Oryzias latipes: one gene and its partner. The protein of the gene in region 2 binds, or shares a complex with, the protein of the main gene of each other region. Links are inferred from orthologs where the notes say so. Each region holds a gene or a part of one and is shown on either strand. Other genes may lie near its edges.

Evidence for each region.
Region 1: the proteins of stx12 (region 2) and vti1a are in contact, whole or in part, in a crystal structure (PDB 2NPS), measured with the Rattus norvegicus proteins. The link is inferred for Oryzias latipes from reciprocal best matches to the Homo sapiens genes STX12 and VTI1A. Residues at the interface, in NP_075228.2 of Rattus norvegicus: Glu185, Ile188, Gln189, Leu191, Glu192, Ile195, Leu196, Val198, Asn199, Phe202, Lys203, Leu205, Ala206, Ile209, His210, Gly213, Ile216, Asp217, Glu220, Val223, Glu224, Ser226, Glu227, Val230, Glu231, Ala233, Ser234, Asp235, Leu237, Gln238; in XP_038945999.1 of Rattus norvegicus: Arg131, Arg134, Ser135, Arg138, Leu139, Ala141, Gly142, Ile145, Ala146, Glu148, Thr149, Ile152, Gly153, Met156, Asn159, Leu160, Asp163, Arg166, Arg169, Ala170, Arg173, Leu174, Glu176, Thr177, Asn180, Leu181, Lys183, Ser184, Ile187, Leu188.

What each region holds. Positions count from the first base shown.
Region 1 is NC_019877.2:9,985,584-9,990,172, reverse strand, and holds the start of vti1a (vesicle transport through interaction with t-SNAREs homolog 1A), read left to right. Parts: upstream 1-1,740; 5' UTR 1,741-1,844; coding exon 1,845-1,938; intron 1,939-4,589. Other genes in the region: palmitoyltransferase ZDHHC6, read right to left, coding at 84-175, 306-572. UniProt on the Homo sapiens protein: V-SNARE that mediates vesicle transport pathways through interactions with t-SNAREs on the target membrane. These interactions are proposed to mediate aspects of the specificity of vesicle trafficking and to promote fusion of the lipid bilayers.
Region 2 is NC_019869.2:17,750,563-17,755,176, reverse strand, and holds the start of stx12 (syntaxin-12), read left to right. Parts: upstream 1-1,508; 5' UTR 1,509-1,624; exon of another isoform or gene 1,625-1,641; intron 1,642-2,187; 5' UTR 2,188-2,226; coding exon 2,227-2,323; intron 2,324-2,768; coding exon 2,769-2,838; intron 2,839-3,637; coding exon 3,638-3,737; intron 3,738-4,196; coding exon 4,197-4,334; intron 4,335-4,614. UniProt on the Homo sapiens protein: SNARE promoting fusion of transport vesicles with target membranes. Together with SNARE STX6, promotes movement of vesicles from endosomes to the cell membrane, and may therefore function in the endocytic recycling pathway.

The DNA of each region.
Region 1 (4,589 bases), on a different chromosome or scaffold from region 2:
TTAATTCATTTTTTGTGATTTTTCTCTTTTTTTTTTTTTAACAAACAATAGTTTCCATAGTTTATTTGCAGTTTACATGTTACCTGTTACACTTGCGACAGTGGTGGGATCTGGGTGCCTTGTATCCTTGGCAAATCCTGCAGTATTGTAGGAATTGGGTATCTTTTGGGTTTTCCTGTTCAGGAATGCAAATAATAGGTAAGGTGCCTGATGTACCTTTAGTGGATTCGAATGGTTTCATTGTTTTTAGTATCAATATACTGTGAACTCAAACAGTCATCAGTGAAAAGAAGCAAAACTCTTACTGGTTTCCAGCCAAGAGGAATATATCCAGGCCCAACAAACATGGCGTTGAAGTAGTTGTAAAGGATAAGAACAGTCCAGTTTAAGAGCATGAGGAAGTTAATGCTGCCTGCAGTGGTGTCTAGAGGCCAGTACCAGATGACTGAGTCTATGATTGCCATGGTTGAACATATAGCAATGACAGAGAGGGCTATGATTGGGCCCCAGTGGCACAATCTTCGAACCTCATGGAGGTTCTCGAATCGAACTAACGCTGAAAGGAAATTCATATTCGTCCCACTGGAAGCTTAAGAAAATGTTCTTTTTTTTTTTTTTTTGTTGGGGACCTGAAATGTTTGGACTCTGCCTGAGTGTGCTACTTGTTTCTTATATCTTGCAAAGTCAGCAGTGCACACATTTTTATTTTCATCTTTCAAGAATCCAACTACATCCCTGGTCTGTGGTCACCCGGCCTTTCCGTGTCCCGGTGTGTCTTGCCCTTGAAGAGCGCAGCATGCTCCCCTCTCAAATCCTGAAGCACAGGAACCTTGTGAGAGTCCGTTTACCCATCTGATGGAGAGAAAGAGAGAAAAAAAGGGGACAAGCATTTATCATAGAGTGCTAAAAGAAAAGGCTATATTTCCTCTTTATATATGCAAAATAGGTGCTATTTATCTGGAAAACAGGTAGTTGTGGGTCACATATTGACTCCTATCTTTATATAGAAATCTATATATTCTAAAGAACGACATAACTATAATGAAAACACTTTTAATGGTCAAATTAATTACGTTTTATTGTTTTTTAAAAACAGAGATATTGGAAGGGTGAAGCTTTGAATGAAAGAAGAAGAAACTCCATGCACAACTAATTAGCTTGTCAAGTCAAGCTTAGCTAGCAAATTCAAAACAACATTTTAAGCTAATTCCAACAAGTTTCTCTATGTATCAGGAATTCATACATTCATACTAACATCTTGCAAAATTGTAATTAGCTTGGCTGTTTAGATAAACATGTTTCGGCTTAAGAGTAGATGCATGCAGCAGGTAGCGAAGAAGTGAGGTTGGTTAGTTAGCTAGCTCGTTCACCATCTTCCACTACCAGCACTGACAGGAAAACCATTTCAAACTCGAAAAAAGAAAGATGAATCAAACATGACACACGAACGTAAAGCTACGTAGAAATAAACACATTGAATAGTGTTTCAGTAAATAAGCTGTCACTTTAAATTAGTTTAACCTTACCACTTGCACTTCGGATTTTTGTTTTCCTCCCCTATGTGCCCTGAGAACCTTCCTAGTTGCGTCTCGGATTGAAAATCCGTCAACTACAAACAGTCAGATCAAATTTAAAACAAAATGAAAAAATATATGTTTTGTTAAATAACACAACAAAGAGATAGGCGTGATAGTTTTCCGAAACCCTCTCTCAGTAGTAGCGCCAACAGAACACCCAGTTCCTAGCCGGACACCTTTTAGTGTGACTCAAGGAAGAAGCTTGTTATTATTTTGAGCTAACTGTCAGCCCTAGAGCTACTTTGCTACCTAAACGTACTGGTCAAAATGTCTTCAGACTTTGAATCCTACGAGCAGGACTTTGGAACGACTACAGCCGAGTTAACAAATAAAATCGGCAGAATTCCCAAACTAAGTGGAGGTAAGACTTTTACCATTTTAGCGTCAATTAATGATGAGCTGGCAGGCTAGCTAGTAGTAGCAAGAAAGCCTCAGTTCTAGTAGAAGGTGTAGCTTTAATTGTTAACTCTAACTTGTTTGAAATCGTTATAAATATATTATGTTGATACATTTACACGTTTATATTCGCCGTGTGACTCAGTTACTGTGCTCTTTCTGTAGGAACAAAAACAAGTGACCGACTACCTGTGGTTATAATAAATTAATGGTAGAGGCCAGTGTCAAATAGAAACATTATGTCAAATTTATATTATAGATTTTAAGATTATAATTTAAAACCAAAGTTGTTCTTTAGCTTTAAGCAACTGGTTTTAAAGTATTAAAATATTTAAGAAAAATACTTCTAGATTCTACAGATGGCAAGAAACTCCTAACCCATCATAGCTGCTGCCTGTTTTCTGTCAACTTACATAATAGTATTAGAACTGTGATAATCTCTATTCTCTTTTACTATTCTAACATCTTAAACACTTTTAAAATTTAACATCATCAATAATTGTGTACTTAAGCTTCATTTAATTGACTAGAAACATATGTACTTTCCTATTTAAAGTACTCAGTTTAATTTATATCCCAGGGTATTTACTCCACTAATTTGAGAATGGGTTTCAACACTACTAAAAATGTCACTAACATAACAAGAGAGCATATGTGTTCAAATGAAAACAAAAGATCCAAAGTGGAACGTGCATTTTAATAATATTTAGTGGTCTACTACCATCAAATAGTCACCATTTTAGACTTTTACATCCAATGTTTGAAAGCACTTCTATCAATTCTTCTTAAGCCTCTATTTCTTATTTATGCATTTAGTTTTTCTTTCCCAACTATTGCTTAACTTCTGTTAACTTACTGTAGTAAATGAAAACCTTTTCACGATAATTTTGAGGATTTAACTGCAAACCAATACCCTTAGCAAATCAAGTTGTTGTGATATGTCATAAGGTTTTTAATCCCAGTGGGATATGATGCAAAAAGACAATGATTATATTGTACACATGCCTCAGTTAGTTCACATAAAACAATCAAACCATATAGTGTTGGAAGTCTGAACCTAATCATATTATTTACTTAAAAAATATGAACTGCACTGTCATGGTAAGCAATAAAAGAGACACTGTACATATTTATCTCACTTTAAACACTTCTTTGTCACATATGTCCCTGCATATCCATGAAGATGAAGACATTTCTACAGCATATTTTAAATTAGTTGCACATCTTTATTATGTCAAAGCACGAGGAGGACATGTGTTGGTCACAATTTGTGTTTCACAGTAAGACCATATTGTATTTGTCACTTTATTTATGGCACTTTGCTTTGTTTGTATAAGAAAGCATTACTACGGCAGTTATATGGATCACCTCACTGAAACACTTATATTGCAGCCTATACGGAATAATATGCAGTTCATATTGTAACTGTCACAAAATAGTGTGAGCAGATTTCAGATAAGTAGCATATAGTATATTATAAGAATGATTAAGTATGAATGAAGAGTGAATGAATAATGGACAAATTGTTAGCGCTTTGAGCACCAAGAAAAAGCACAGATAAATCTAATGAATTATTATTATTATTATAAAAGACATGAATGAATACAAATTTAAGTCTTTAATTGTAAAAAATCTAACAGAACTAAAAAAAAAACTTAAAAAAATTCACCTGAACATGTGAAACAATGTACTGCTGGTTAAATGCGTAATAGCAATAGACCGGTCAGTTTATTTATATGGCGTCTTACTATGACCGTATAAAACAAGGAGCTATTCATTGAAACTCAACACATTAAAACAACAGTTTAAATGATAACACAATTTAAAAGTTAAATAGTAAAATATTTATAATATTGGAAAATAAAAACACAGTCAAAATAAAACACACCAACAGAGCAGCGTCTAATGGGCAAAAGCCTGGCAATAAAAGTTTTCAGAAGCTTTTTATAAATAGACTGTGAGGACGCTTAGCGAGGCATTCCTCACCTTTGGTGCACAGACTGAAAAAGCCCATTCCTCCTTTAACTTTCTCTTGAACTTTTGTACTCTAATCAGAACCCAGTCAGCTGCCATGAGGCACTGACTGGCATGAAGGGAGAGACAGGCTCAAAGAGGCACGGTTAATTAAAAAAAATTAAATGAAACGGAAGAATCTTAAAGTTAACGTCCAAAATGCACTGGCAGCCAGTGAAGGAAAGCTCCAATTGGGGCGACGTGGTCCCTCTTTAGTGTTCTGGACCACTTAAAGAAGCGGAAGGGACAAGAGGCTGACTCTGAAAGTTACAGTAATCCATTTTAGTTTCTGATGAAAGCATGGATTACTGTCTGAAAGTGTAGTCTTGATAAACAGCGTCACCTTCACCAGCTACCTTAAAGAAAAGAAGCTATACAAAGCGAATTTAGCTATCACGTTTAAAATCACTGTCCGTTTCTGACCTAGATTTGTCCCAGACTTTTAAATGTGAATCAGGAGAATCAGATCTACTGTGGAGGGGTCACACGACTCACTTTAAACTGTCTAAAACAAACTAGGACATAGTTAATTATTTGTTTTTCTAGAAAATCCTATAATTGATAATGACACAGATGTTCTGGTTTGGATGTGATATCTTTGAA
Region 2 (4,614 bases):
ATGAAAAGTAAGGCTGTTTTTGGTAGGAAGACGAACAGCCTGGAACGCAACAGAGACTGCAACTCTTCGACTCTGCCATTCTTCATATCTGCTGCTACGCTAACAGGAAGTTGTTTTACACGTCATTGACGTATTTCCGGTCGAAAAATGCGGAAGTGTGAAAAAGGTCTATTACCACAGGCACCACTGTCACCTTCACTTTCCAGGCTTTCTCCAGTTCTTCTCTGAGTCTCTGGTATTTCTCCAGTTTCTCATGTTCCTTCTTCCTGATGTTCCCATCACTTGGCACTGCCACATCCACCACAACGGCTTTCCTCTGTTCTTTATCCACCACTACAATGTCTGGTTGGTTCGCCATTACCATCCTGTCAGTCAGTATCTGGAAGTCCCACAGGATCTTTGCCCTTTCATTCTCTATCACCTTCAGAGGTGTTTCTCTTTTTGACTTTGAGGTTTCCAGTTCATATTCTGCACACGTGTTTCTGTATATTATTCCAGCCACTTGATAATGGCACTCCATGTATGTTTTCCCTTGCAGCATCTTCAACCCCGCAGTTATGGTGTAAATGGCGTACACTTACAGTATATAGCGCTTTTCTACCTACAAGGCCCAAAGCGGTTTACAAACACAGACCCATTCACACACTGGTGGCGGCAGATTTATAACTGTAAACAATAAATCCTTGTTTATTTCTGAATAATGGTGTGTGTTTTGTCTATGACTTGATGCGTACTGATGGAATGCTGTTATCATACAATGGGTTTGTAACTAAATACAAAATTAAGGATTCTAGTAACTGTTATAGCAAAGTCTGTTAAGCAATTACCATACCTTTACTTAATCTTATTCATAACATATTACAATACAATGCAATCAAACCACAATTTCCAGAATTAATGGAAAAGTTAATGATATTCCCCTAAAAGATAAAAAAGGCAACAATAAACTCTAACCTTTAAACAAATAATTTTCTGCAACTTTAGCATAAACAATGAACGCGACTTAGAAACCACCCTAATGGACAAATCTTTTTCTTTATACACAAAGTACCCACTTCCACCTAAAATGAAAGAAACGCATTTTAAAATAATATCTAAAATTTACCCTGTTGGAGATTTTTTACATAAAAGATTCAAATTTCAATCAGAACCACGCATATTCTGTTCATCTGAAACTGAAACGTAGAACATCTCTTTTACAGTTGCAAAAATATTTTGGACTGATATTCACAGTTGGTTGTCACTCAAAGTTTTAAATATTCCCTTTTTTTCCTTATCTGATGTTCTTTTCTATATGAAAAATCTGGACCCGGGAATTTCTTTTTTTTCTATATGCGCATTTATAACGTTTGTTCACCCTTACTTGGTCTGTATGAGCATTTAAAAAAAACAAAACAACAAAAAACAACGTCATACCGAAATGTCACATACCAGGAAGTCGAATGCTCAGTTTTGATTGGTGGCTCACTGGACCCGGGCACGCTACAGCGTTTTGATTGGTGGTTTGGTTTCAAATGCGTGACCTGATTGGTTGTCAGAGGAAGTAGGGCTCGGTGATCTCAGCTGAATCCGGAACCAAGCCCTGATCGAAGGGCGAGAATTTGTTTCTTCAGCTGAATCATATGCAAGTATAAAATAAACGTCAGTTACCTTGTTTCGTAGTTTCAAATGTCGATTAAACGCTATTTTAAATATGCAACGCAACGATTTCATCGTTTATAATCTAACGCTTAGAAGTTAGCACGTTTAGCTAACACGTTAGCATCGTTCCGCTACGTGTTGTTGGGAATGTCACTCTGTGATGTAAAATTCCGTTAGCAGAACGTCGCTCTGGTAACATTGTTGTGGTTATACTATCAATATGTTAACGTTGCGGCTTCATGTTTGTCTATAAGTCAACATCTGCTGGTTAGTTAAATAAGCGTACGGGTCTTATGGTGTGCGTCATGTCAAAAAAAAAAAGCAGCGAAATCCTAACAGTTCTGTATATACTTTACTAGTCTGTATTATAATTTTGTGTGATGATTTTAATAAATGTCAGCTTTTTAGTCTGTGCGTTTTAGTAAGTTTTGAAGCGTGATTGCATTCTCCCTCCGACCTACATTTGGAGTTTTAGATTGAATTATTCATGTTAAATAACAGTTTGTGGCCTTTTTCAAATTTCCTTTTCTTTTTTTGCATGCACAGTTTTAGCTCAACATCAAAGCCAAGCCTTCCGCCTCAAACATGTCCTACGGTAAAGCGGAGTTCCGCCCTGTCCCGAGGGACTTTGGCTCCCTTATTCAGACATGCAGCTCCAACATCCAGAAGATCACACAGAACAGTGAGTCCTCCATTGCTGGGAGCTGAGACTCATTGTTAGTCACTGGCTCAGGAAGAAGTCATGTGAGAATGCTTACAAGAATCGTGATGATCTGCTGCTTAACTCAGGCCTGTTCAGGGGGGGAGATCCAGGTTAAGCAATCACATGGCTAATTCATCACAAGTGCTTCAGGAAAATACACTATTCTAAATGTTCAGGTTTGCTTCCTTTTTGAGATGTGTACAGTAAATAAGTGCTTACATTCTTTGGTACAAAACTCACAAATTAAGTTGCATTTTCTGCTGTCTATACAAGAATGGACACTAAACTATTTCTTAGCTCGTTTGCTTCTGCGGTTTGGATTGGTTTTTGTGTTTTTTTCTGTGTTGTTGTTTGATATCTGTGCACACAGATGATCCCTGAGTAAAGGTTTTGGAGATTAAGATTGTTTCTGTTTTCCTGACAGCCGCACAGATTAAGACCATGGTGAACCAGCAAGGGACAAGGCAAGACTCCAGTGAACTTCACGATCGTCTGTATGTCATCATTTCTTGTTTCATTTTTTTCTACCAGTTTTAATGAAAACACAGGCAGATGGAGGTTTTCTAGCTGGTTAACATCTGATGCAAATATCAGTGTTATCTTTGTTGGTAATAACCTCCTAATGAGGCTGAATATGAGACCAACACTGATGCAATTATTCAATAAGGCACCCTGACTTATGTTTAAGACAATATGAAAAAAAAAACTAACACAGCCAGTTTGCTTTACATGCATTTCTTGCACACACTGTTGTTAATCATATGTATTGAGAAGTAAAACCTTTAAAATTGTTATAATTCAGGCTTTTTGGTGACAAAATTTGGTTTCAGCTACAAAACCTACATCTACTGACCCAGGAGTCCTCCTGCTTTGCACATTTAAGTGATGCTGTGAGACCAGGAAGAGGTTAAATGACTGTTGCTGGTGGTTGTGGAGTAAACTTCAATAATCTCTTTTGTCTTCTGCGACTAAATGAATGTGTCACACTTTTTGATGGCGTGTTTTCACTTTGCAAAGAATTTTAAAATTTTGATTTATTTCAGAGCTGGTAGAAAAGCTCTATTATTTGATTTAAAAAAAAATACTAAGAAAATTAAAAATTTCAAGCTTTATTTGAATTGAATTGACAATAAAAGCAATTTACAGATGCATTAACAGTAGTGCATTACACATTGAGTGTGCTTTAGTGTGGAGCAGAATGGCTGGGACTGTAATAGCCTGAATCTGGGAAGCAGCTTCTTCTTGTGGCTGATGTTCAGTCCTGTTTTTATTGATGCACAGTTTTCTCTGCAGGCAGCAGATCCAGCACTACACTAACCAGCTTGCGAAGGAAACCAACAAACACCTTAAAGAACTAGGCTCTGTCCCTGCGCCTCTATCCCCCTCTGAACAGGTAAGTGGGAGTTTGTTGAAACGTCTGCATGAAGACCAAATCCTGAGTTTTTACCAAAACTGTCTCCCCTGACTGCAGTATTCCAAACACGGTGTGCAGCAGTACTTCAAAGTATTTTTGCAGCAGAAAGGTTTAACTGGAGGGAGATGGTTTGCTGTTGTGACCTCTGAAGTGATCAGATATTAGTAAAAGAAGGCGATTCTTGTAGTTGAGATTTGCTAATTTTTTGTTTTGTAAATTTTAAGCAGGAGATGAAAGCCGAGTTTATGTATAAACGATACAGAGGAAGCAGGGATTTTTCCTGAAAATCTTTAGGAAAAAATAGGAGTTAAGTTACAATGTTGCTGCTTGAATGTTGGAAAGTGATTGTCAGGATTGAACTTTAAAATCTTAACCGTTATCTAAATGCTTTTTTAAAAAGTGTCTCCTAATGTGCTTTGGGTGCTCTGCTCTGTCCAGAGGCAGCAGAAGATTCAGAGAGACCGGCTCATGAGTGATTTCTCTGCGGCGCTCAACAACTTCCAGGCGGTTCAGCGACACGCAGCCGAGAAAGAGCGGGAGTCCATAGCCAGAGCCAGAGCGGGATCCCGCCTCTCAGTGAGTGAGACTCAGGAATGGATTCACACAACACCAGGAAAAGTGTGGAAAACAACCACAATATTCCTTATTTTTCCTTTTACCTGTTAATCATCAGCATTTTTTCTCCTACTTAGGATTTTAATTGTCCTATTTTGAAAAGTCCCATAACTTATCTGATGATTCATCTAATCCAAATCCAGTTGTGTATTATTGTGACTATTTGAAGTCATGAAAGGTAGAAAAATCTTGTTTTATCAGAGCTGTAAAAATTTTAACATCCACAAATGAAATGAAAAGT